Linked DNA regions of Ovis aries. Each later gene encodes a partner of the first gene's protein in a complex. Links are inferred from orthologs where the notes say so. Each region holds a gene or a part of one and is shown on either strand. Other genes may lie near its edges.

Region 1 (3,814 bases):
ACAGAGGAGCCTGGTGGGCTACAGTCCATGGGGTCGCAAAGAGTCGGACACGACTTCACTTTCACTTTCTATATTCCTACCCAACAAAAGCAGCCTGTGGGCAAGCGAGTGCCTCCGGAGGCGCATGCACAGTGCCCTAAGTGAGCTCAGCTGTTACATAACCATTATTTACAAAATGTAGTGAGAGGGTGGGGCGAGAGAGCCTGACCATCCCATCTTGGCTAATTTGCTCTTTCCCGACACTCGTTGGGACCATTTCCTTCTCACACATTCACCCGAAGGGTTTTCAACCCGCTCTCCTGGCTGGGAGCCCAGCTACCTGGCATTCTGGTGACTGTTACTGTTAGGGTTACGTTCCATTAAAACTGTGTGCTGGGGGCGAGAGCTTCCCTAGGGTAAAGCTTGGTAGAGTGAATCCAGCTACACTTCTAGCTTCTAGCCTGTGCTTTGCAGCAAAAGTGGCCTCAGCTACCCAAAAGACTTTGTTTCTTATCCTGCCAGCAGGAGAGAAACGGGGGTGAAACGGGGTTGCTGGGAACCGTGTTCCCAATCAAATCCCATACATCGTTTGGCCCATTTCTCCTGTGCCATGTTCCAGAAGTTAGTGGACACTTGGGAAGAGGGAAAGTGATGCACTGAAGACATAGAGGGTGGCAGGTCAGGTTAATGCAAAAATGTAAAAAAAAAAAAAACAACAAACCTGAAACTCCCTAGAAAGTTTTAGGTTAGCAGGGTCCCTTCTGTTACTGGGGATGCATAAAACCTCAATAGCTGGAAATAATGTCCACTGGGGCAGGGTTGGGGCGGGGATATCTCATATTCCAGAATTTTGAAGGGCACCAAGTGGCAAAATACAGGGTAGATTAAATGGACTGGGATTTCAGTGGAAAGAGGAAAAATAGGAAGGCCACACAGTGGAAAGGGACAGATGAAGACATGGGAAGCAGTGTGGCAAAGAGGCAGGAAGTATGCTTGTCATGGGGGCTGTAAAAACAGTGGTCTGTTATCAAGGGAGTGGTCATCTCAAGCAAGACAGGCTATCAAAGTTGCAGTAGGCAGTCCCAAGGCAGGTGGGCTCCAAACAGAATTCGGTCCCTTGCCTGGCAAAGGCCGGCCAGTCTGCCAGCCAGGAGGTCAAGGGAACAACAGGAACCCAGAGAAAAAGGATACCTTCTTGTTAAGAGTTTCTTAGTCTGGGAAACACCGACTGCACAATCACTTTAGGGAAGCAAAGTGCTTGTCAAATACGTGGATCCATGGAACCCAATTTAGACAATCAGAGTCTCTGGGGTCCCGGGTATAGGACAAGTACCACAGGTGAGTCCTATATGCTATCAAGTTTAAAAGCTACCAGCTGAGATAATCAAATTGGGTGGCTAAAGCCTTTGTTTAGAGACTACCGAGGGCTTTCTCTTGGTCCACAGCACCTAGAACAGAACTGTCTGGGCATAACAGAGCCCTAGTTACAGAGCTCTCACATTCCTTCCTGGGGGTAAATCACACCAGGATCTCTCCATATCACCTCCCTGAAGGCCAGGCCACATCCACTGAACATAAGTGAACTTCCTGATAGTCTGTGTTCTGAGAGGCAGCTGTCTCATTTTTTTAGAGGGAAGGAGGGTACAGGCCGTCTGTCTGTAAGTCTGAAGCATCAACTCATTAGAGGCTTTCTTCACCAGAGCTGATTTCAGTTTCCAAAGGGGAGACCAGAAAGGACTACTTGGGAAAGAAAGGCAGGAGAAAGGCTCCAAGAAACCATGTCAATCAGGCGCTACTCATCAAGACCCTAACTTGAACGTAGTGTGCCAGGTGCCAAGGGCAATAATACTGCAATGCTCCCTGGCAGAATTGTTATTCACTTTTAGGCCTAAAAATAAATGTGTGAGGAAAGTTTCTAGGAGGTAAAAAAGTTCTAATTATAAATCAGTGTATGTGTTCACTGAGTTTGTATTTTCCACCCCATAAGTCAGACTAAGTAAAATCGTGTTCCAAGTCAGGAGTTCTTACAGCAAACCCTAGTTAAATGCACCAACCACAGGCCTGCAGAATAAAAACTGAATTGAAACCACTATCTCCTTCCTGGTGACCCCCGACTCCTACCTCTACGGTCCCTCCTGATGATCAAGTTAAGGGGTGCTCCTAGTTCTAACGTTTCCTGTCAGAGGCTCCCAACGTTAGGAAGCTCGTGCTGTGTCCTGGGCATATCTACATACAACCACAATACCGCAAGCCCTTGCTTCTAGGTTTGCAACTTCACCAACTGCCCCACTCCCGGGTGGGCGGAACTGACATTACTGTTTAGTCTCTAAGTCTTCTTGGATGGTTTTTCCGAGCTGGTGGTCTGCAGCCCGCCAGGTTCCTCGGTCCATGGGATTTCCGGGGCAAGAATACTGGAGTGGGTTGCCATTTCCTCCTCCAGGGCTCCCATGAACAACCCCTTTAAGCTTCCTAGTATCCCCTTAGACATCCTTTCGCGGTTATGATGAACGGAAGGCCAGAGACGAGAGAGCTGCCTTGAACTCAAAGGCAGCAAAAAGCCCGCTCCCAGATCTCCTCCCCTGGTGTCCTTGGATGCCTCCTGTCCCCAGTCCGAGCCCTCCAGCCCCCCAGGCCCCCCCACCAGCACGGAGGAGCGCGCAGTCACCTCTCGTCTACCTTCTCTCCGCAGCTCCAACGGCAAGTCGGTGACTTGGGCGCAGAACGAGAAGAGCAGCCGCGGGCAGCACCTGTGGCAGAGGCTGTCGGTGCACATCAACAAGAAGGAGAACCCCAACCAGACGGCCGTCATCAAGCCCTTCCCCAAGAGCACGGAGGGCCGCGGCGCGGGGGGCGCGGGCGGCGGCGGGCCCGAGCCCCCGGACGCCGGCCCCAAGGCGCGCCCCGCCGCGGCCGAGGCCGAGGAGCGCCGCGCGGTGCCGCGCGCGCCGTCGCCCATCAGCACGCTGAGCCGCCCAGCGGGCGGCCTCCCCGACGACGAGGACGCGCGCTCGCTGCGCTCGGAGCCCGCCGCGCGCAGCAGCTCGTCGCAGGGCTCGCTGCTGGAGCAGATCAGCAGCGTGGTGACCCGCTTTACGGCCAACATCAGCGAGCTCAACTCCATGATGCTGGCCTCCCCGGGGACGCCCGGCGCGGGCGCGGCGCTCTGCTCGGCCTACCTGATCCCCACGGAGATGCAGCTGCCCGCCGCCGTGATGACCACGTTCGCCGAGATCCAGCCGCCGCCCGCCGCCGAGGGCCCGGGCGGCGCGGCCTCGCCGGCGGAGGGCGCCGCCCGGGAGCCTTCGCCCTCGGCGGCGGCGGCCGGGCCCGAGGCTGCGGGCGGCAAGGCGGACCTGGAGGAGCTGGTGGCGCTCACGCCGCCGTCCCCCTTCAGGGACTCGGTGGACTCGGGGAGCACCACCCCCAACTCGCCGGTGTCCGAGTCAGCCCTGTGTATCCCATCGTCTCCCAAGTACGACACGCTTATCATCAGAGATTACACCCAGAGCTCCTCGTCCTTGTGAATGTCCTTGGAAACCACGCCGGGGTCCCCCCCGCCCCAAGAAGCCGAGACCCTCCGGTGTCCCCACAGACAGCAAGGACAGGCCTGGGCGCCTGCTTAAGACCCCGAGGTGGAAGACATCGCGTACACCCGCAGTGGAAACGAGATCAACAGTGCTATCTACCATCCACCGACGAAGACACCAACCACAAACCTTTCGGCAGATTTTCTTCTAGTGGCCTTAGAAAACATGGGCTTTAAGAAACACCGCTTCTACTTTTGAGGGCTCACGAGGAGTTTGTTGAACCAGTTACATCCCAAGTGCTTTGCTCT
Region 2 (4,251 bases), on another chromosome or scaffold:
ATGAAAGATTACATTTCCTTCGTTTGTCCATTCCCACACCTGTTAAAATGCCTGGATGATGGCTGAATATAGAGAAAACCATAATTGCTATTAAAATTTTTCTGGATATTTAGCAGTATGCAAAACAAATCTCATGCAGACACACAAAACAAGAAAATCTCAGTCTGTGAAGTCTGTGTGGTTGCACGCCATTAAATAATTTTCCCCTTGTGGTTTTTAAACTGGGCAAGCCACACACTTAAACACAAACATACATTTGAAAAGCAAGATGATTTCACAAAAGTTATGGTTTCCTTTTACACATGAAAGCATGCACATGAGAGAAAAATTTCTTCAAGACTATTTGCAAAAATAGTTTGGTTCTAGATTGTCTCTTTGAAATCTTCAAAACTAGTTATAAATGTAGTATAAGAGAGGAAATTGTTCTTTCGGTATCCTGTGACTGCTTCAGCTGGTTCAATAGACTTTCATTATAGGCAAAGATTCACAATATAAAATGTCTTTTGGAATTTGGAAGTTAGGTTCCATAAATTCACTGTCTCTTCTGCAATATCATATGAAAATGTAAATATAGGAGAATTAAATAATATCTCTTTCTAAAAGAATAAAGATTAAAATAGAAAATGAAAGCTCATATCCTCTAGTAAGTATTTACCACAAGTTCCTAGAAGCCTCCTAGGAAATCTGAGATCCAGGATCCATACTGCTTATAATAAAGAATATTGTAAACACCAATATGTTTATAATTTAAACATATGAAATCACATCTAATCATTTGAGAATGGCATAAATAAACTTCAAACTTTAATTTAAAATACAGTTACTTAAGAAACCAGTCAATAGATAGCATAAGCTTAAGTTTTGCTTTAATTCAAGCTAAATAAGTAACACTTTTAACAGCTAAAATTACATACATTGGTGGATTTGAAAAGCTGAAGAAATTGACTGCTAGGTGAGTTACAACATAATATAATAGAGCTATACTTGTTTTCAACTAATTTTAATTAAAGACTATTCAACATAATTATTTTGCTTTTATTCTTGCAAAAAAACAGTGAACTGTTTACATTATGTTGCATAAATGTATTTGCTTCTACTTGTATAATTGTGCTACGACACAGCACTCCTAGGTTCTGGTGTTTACATATATGCAAAACATTTTATACTGTGTACAGTGACATTCACTTCATAGAATTATAATGAGGGATGACAGTGTGTAGAAAGCAAAATAAAAAAGCAAGGATACATTTGTTGATTTCGAGTTGATCCCATGTAACTCTTAAAAACTTTGAGTCAAAAAGATTTTAGAGTGAACAGTAAATAAGCATGAATAGCCACAAGGTTATTAGTGTTCGAAGAATGGGTTACAAATATGCCATGATGCAAAGACTACAGTTCTTTAGAATAAACGCAGGTAAGTTACTCTACATTTTTTCACACTCGGTGTTTCAAACAAGAGAAATTTTATAAGAAAATTAGTGTTCATGTAATTCCAGAAATTTCCCTCATATTAAAATTTCCTGATCAGCCAAAAAAGGCACTTCACATAAAAGAAAGCTATTGAAATGTTTTCCTCAAATACAGTTCAGTGAACATTTGTTCTTTGTTGACTTTATTACACAAGTGCTCACATGAAGAAAAATATCGATCCTGTCCTGCTGAGCAGGGGTCATAAAAGATACTCAAATAATCGCAACGCAGAGTGATGAGTGCAGTTATGAGTGCCTGTATTGTTGCAGGAGTAGCAGAGGAAGTAGTGGACGCCTGGGTTTTTAGGGATGACTAGGAGCACAACGGGAAGATAAGGGGCGGAAAAGGGTGCCTCCTACCATCTGTCTCATTGTTCAGTCACGAAATAAAATATATTATAATTCTATAATAATTTTGAAGGAACTAATAATAAATCAAAAAATTTTTACGAGTACAAATCACCTTAGCATTAAAATCAATTATTGTAAGTCATTTTGATTCAACAAAAGAGACTTTTAAATCTGCATATTTGAAAGTTCTATCGAAAAAGTTGGTCAAAATAAAAAGGCACCTCCTAACTTGCAGACAGGTGGAAGAGGGAAATAAAGGCACAGACTCAGGTGCCAGACTGCCAAAGTTTGATCTCAGGCTCTGCCTTTGACTTGCTGTGTGAGTAACGTGTGTGTGGGAAGTTACTTAACCTCATGACCCCTCAGTTTAGTAAAACAGGGATGATAATTACTGTCGCTGATGACTGGTTCAAAACCAACCTGCTATTCTATCTAAGGGGCTGAATTTTCCTTGATAAAAGTCCCAGGAAAGAACACCCAGGACTTTCACCTTGGTCTCTGACCAGTGATTCCAAATTTGTTGAGTTGAATCCATTCAGCAGAAACCATGATCAATGAGTCAGCTGGGAAGGGAATCCACCTCTTTTCTGCTTGCTGCACAAATGCTGAAGGACTGTTTCATAGACTCTCTTGGTACTGAGGGCAAGTTTCCCAATATGGGAAGTAAGCCTGAAGCCACTTAAACTCTCACACACACACACCATATATATATTTTCCTCCCACCAGAGAGAAGGAAGATTAACCAAACCGTTCTAAAGTCAGCTAATAAAGCACAAGCATATCAAAATGAAACTCTGCCATAAAGAAGCAAAACTCAGCATTAGAATTCTGACAAACTTACCTGCTGCTGCTGCTGCTGCTGCTGCTAAGTCGCTTCAGTCGTGTTCGACTCTGTGCGATCCCATAGACGGCAGCCCTTCCCCGTCCCTGGGATTCTCCAGGCAAGAACACTGGAGTGGGTCGCCATTTCTTTCTCCAATGCATGAAAGTGAAAAGTGAAAGTGAAGTCGCTCAGTCATGTCTGACTCTGTGCAACCCCATGGACTGCAGCCCAGCAGGCTCCCCCCCGACCATGGGAGTTTCCAGGCAAGAGTACCTAGCAGGTAACGAAAGCAAAATGCCCAGTGAGATTTCCGGGCACTGTGTCCTGCCCTGTCACTGACCTTGACACATTAATAACACAGACCTCAGTGGGACTGCCAGACTACATCATTATCTCTGCACACAATTTAATACGGACAAGGGACTTCCCCGGTGGTCTAATAGTTAAGAATTGGCCTTCCGATGCAGGGGACGAAGTTCGATCCCTGATTGGGGAACTAAGATCCCACAAGCCACGGGGCAACTAAGCCTGCTTCAGGCAGTTAGAGAAGCCGGTGTCTTGCAGCTACTGAGCCTGCACCCTCTAGAGTCCTTACTCCACAGCAAGACAAAGAGTAGCCCCTACTCCCTGCAACTAGAGGAAGCCACAGGTAGCAACGAATACCCGGCGCAGCCTATACATGTGTGTGTGTGAGAGAAACGTGGCAGAGCAGCCAGGAGTCACCAACAGCCACTTGCAGGCGTAGCATAGCACACTGGTAGCTCCTTTCTGCTTCTTGAATGCTATTGTCAGAATGAGAATAGTAGCTAAGATTAACTGAGCACTTGATATATGATACTCATTTTGCTAAAACCTTTTTCCATATTGCCTCATTTAGTCTTCAGTCCCACGTAAAAAGCACCATTGTTATACCTATTTTACAGAGGAGGAAATTAAGGCACAAACTTGTTGCGAAGGCCATATAATTTTTAAGGTCCCGTCATTTTTGAATGGAGGATCTAACCCGAAAGGACACACATACCTTTTGCCCTCTACTACAATCGTCTCCACTGTCTAATCCCAGAGGACACACATACATTTTGCCCTTTACTGCAATCTTCTCCAATCTCTGGAAGGAAAGAAAGATTTTTCTATTGTGAGCGAAGGACAAGATGTGAGTAAGTTTAAAAGCAAACACCACTGGTTTTAGGCAAACGTATAAAAAAAGATCTATTTCTCTTTGGTTCCTGTCTGCTTCCATTTCTAAAGCTTTCTCCTACACTGTTTTGTTTCTTTTCTGATTTGGAGTGCAAATTTAATACTGTTGATTCTGTTATAAAGTTTGGTATTGCAAAATAATATTTGATTTTCTAATCATGATCACAAGTCTCTAATTTCTCGTGTGTTTTATACCAGATTCCTTACTGCCCTTCCCTCCTGTCACTGGTGACAGACTCTGGTGCTGGTTAGCAGAGAAAGGCAATCTTCCTGCCACCCCAGATGGGCCTTAACACCAGTCCCTTCTTCGATTTTTCAATGCTCAGCAACAGCCTTCTTGGCTCATCTCCAAAATTTCCTGAGAACATAACATTGTTGTGAGGGACTCTGTGTCAAGTGTATCAGGCTTTA

The links.
Region 2: the proteins of GRM5 (region 1) and HOMER1 are in contact, whole or in part, in a crystal structure (PDB 1DDV), measured with the Rattus norvegicus proteins. The link is inferred for Ovis aries from reciprocal best matches to the Homo sapiens genes GRM5 and HOMER1. Residues at the interface, in XP_006229721.1 of Rattus norvegicus: Thr1155, Pro1156, Pro1157, Phe1160; in NP_113895.1 of Rattus norvegicus: His12, Phe14, Trp24, Thr70, Ser71, Gln72, Lys73, Phe74, Gly89, Phe90.

Annotation. Positions count from the first base shown.
Region 1 is NC_056074.1:6,724,184-6,727,997, forward strand, and holds part of GRM5 (metabotropic glutamate receptor 5), read left to right. Parts: intron 1-2,668; coding exon 2,669-3,503; 3' UTR 3,504-3,814. UniProt on the Homo sapiens protein: G-protein coupled receptor for glutamate. Ligand binding causes a conformation change that triggers signaling via guanine nucleotide-binding proteins (G proteins) and modulates the activity of down-stream effectors.
Region 2 is NC_056060.1:10,527,811-10,532,061, forward strand, and holds the start of HOMER1 (homer protein homolog 1), read right to left. Parts: upstream 2,947-4,251; 5' UTR 2,805-2,946; coding exon 2,662-2,804; intron 1-2,661. UniProt on the Homo sapiens protein: Postsynaptic density scaffolding protein. Binds and cross-links cytoplasmic regions of GRM1, GRM5, ITPR1, DNM3, RYR1, RYR2, SHANK1 and SHANK3.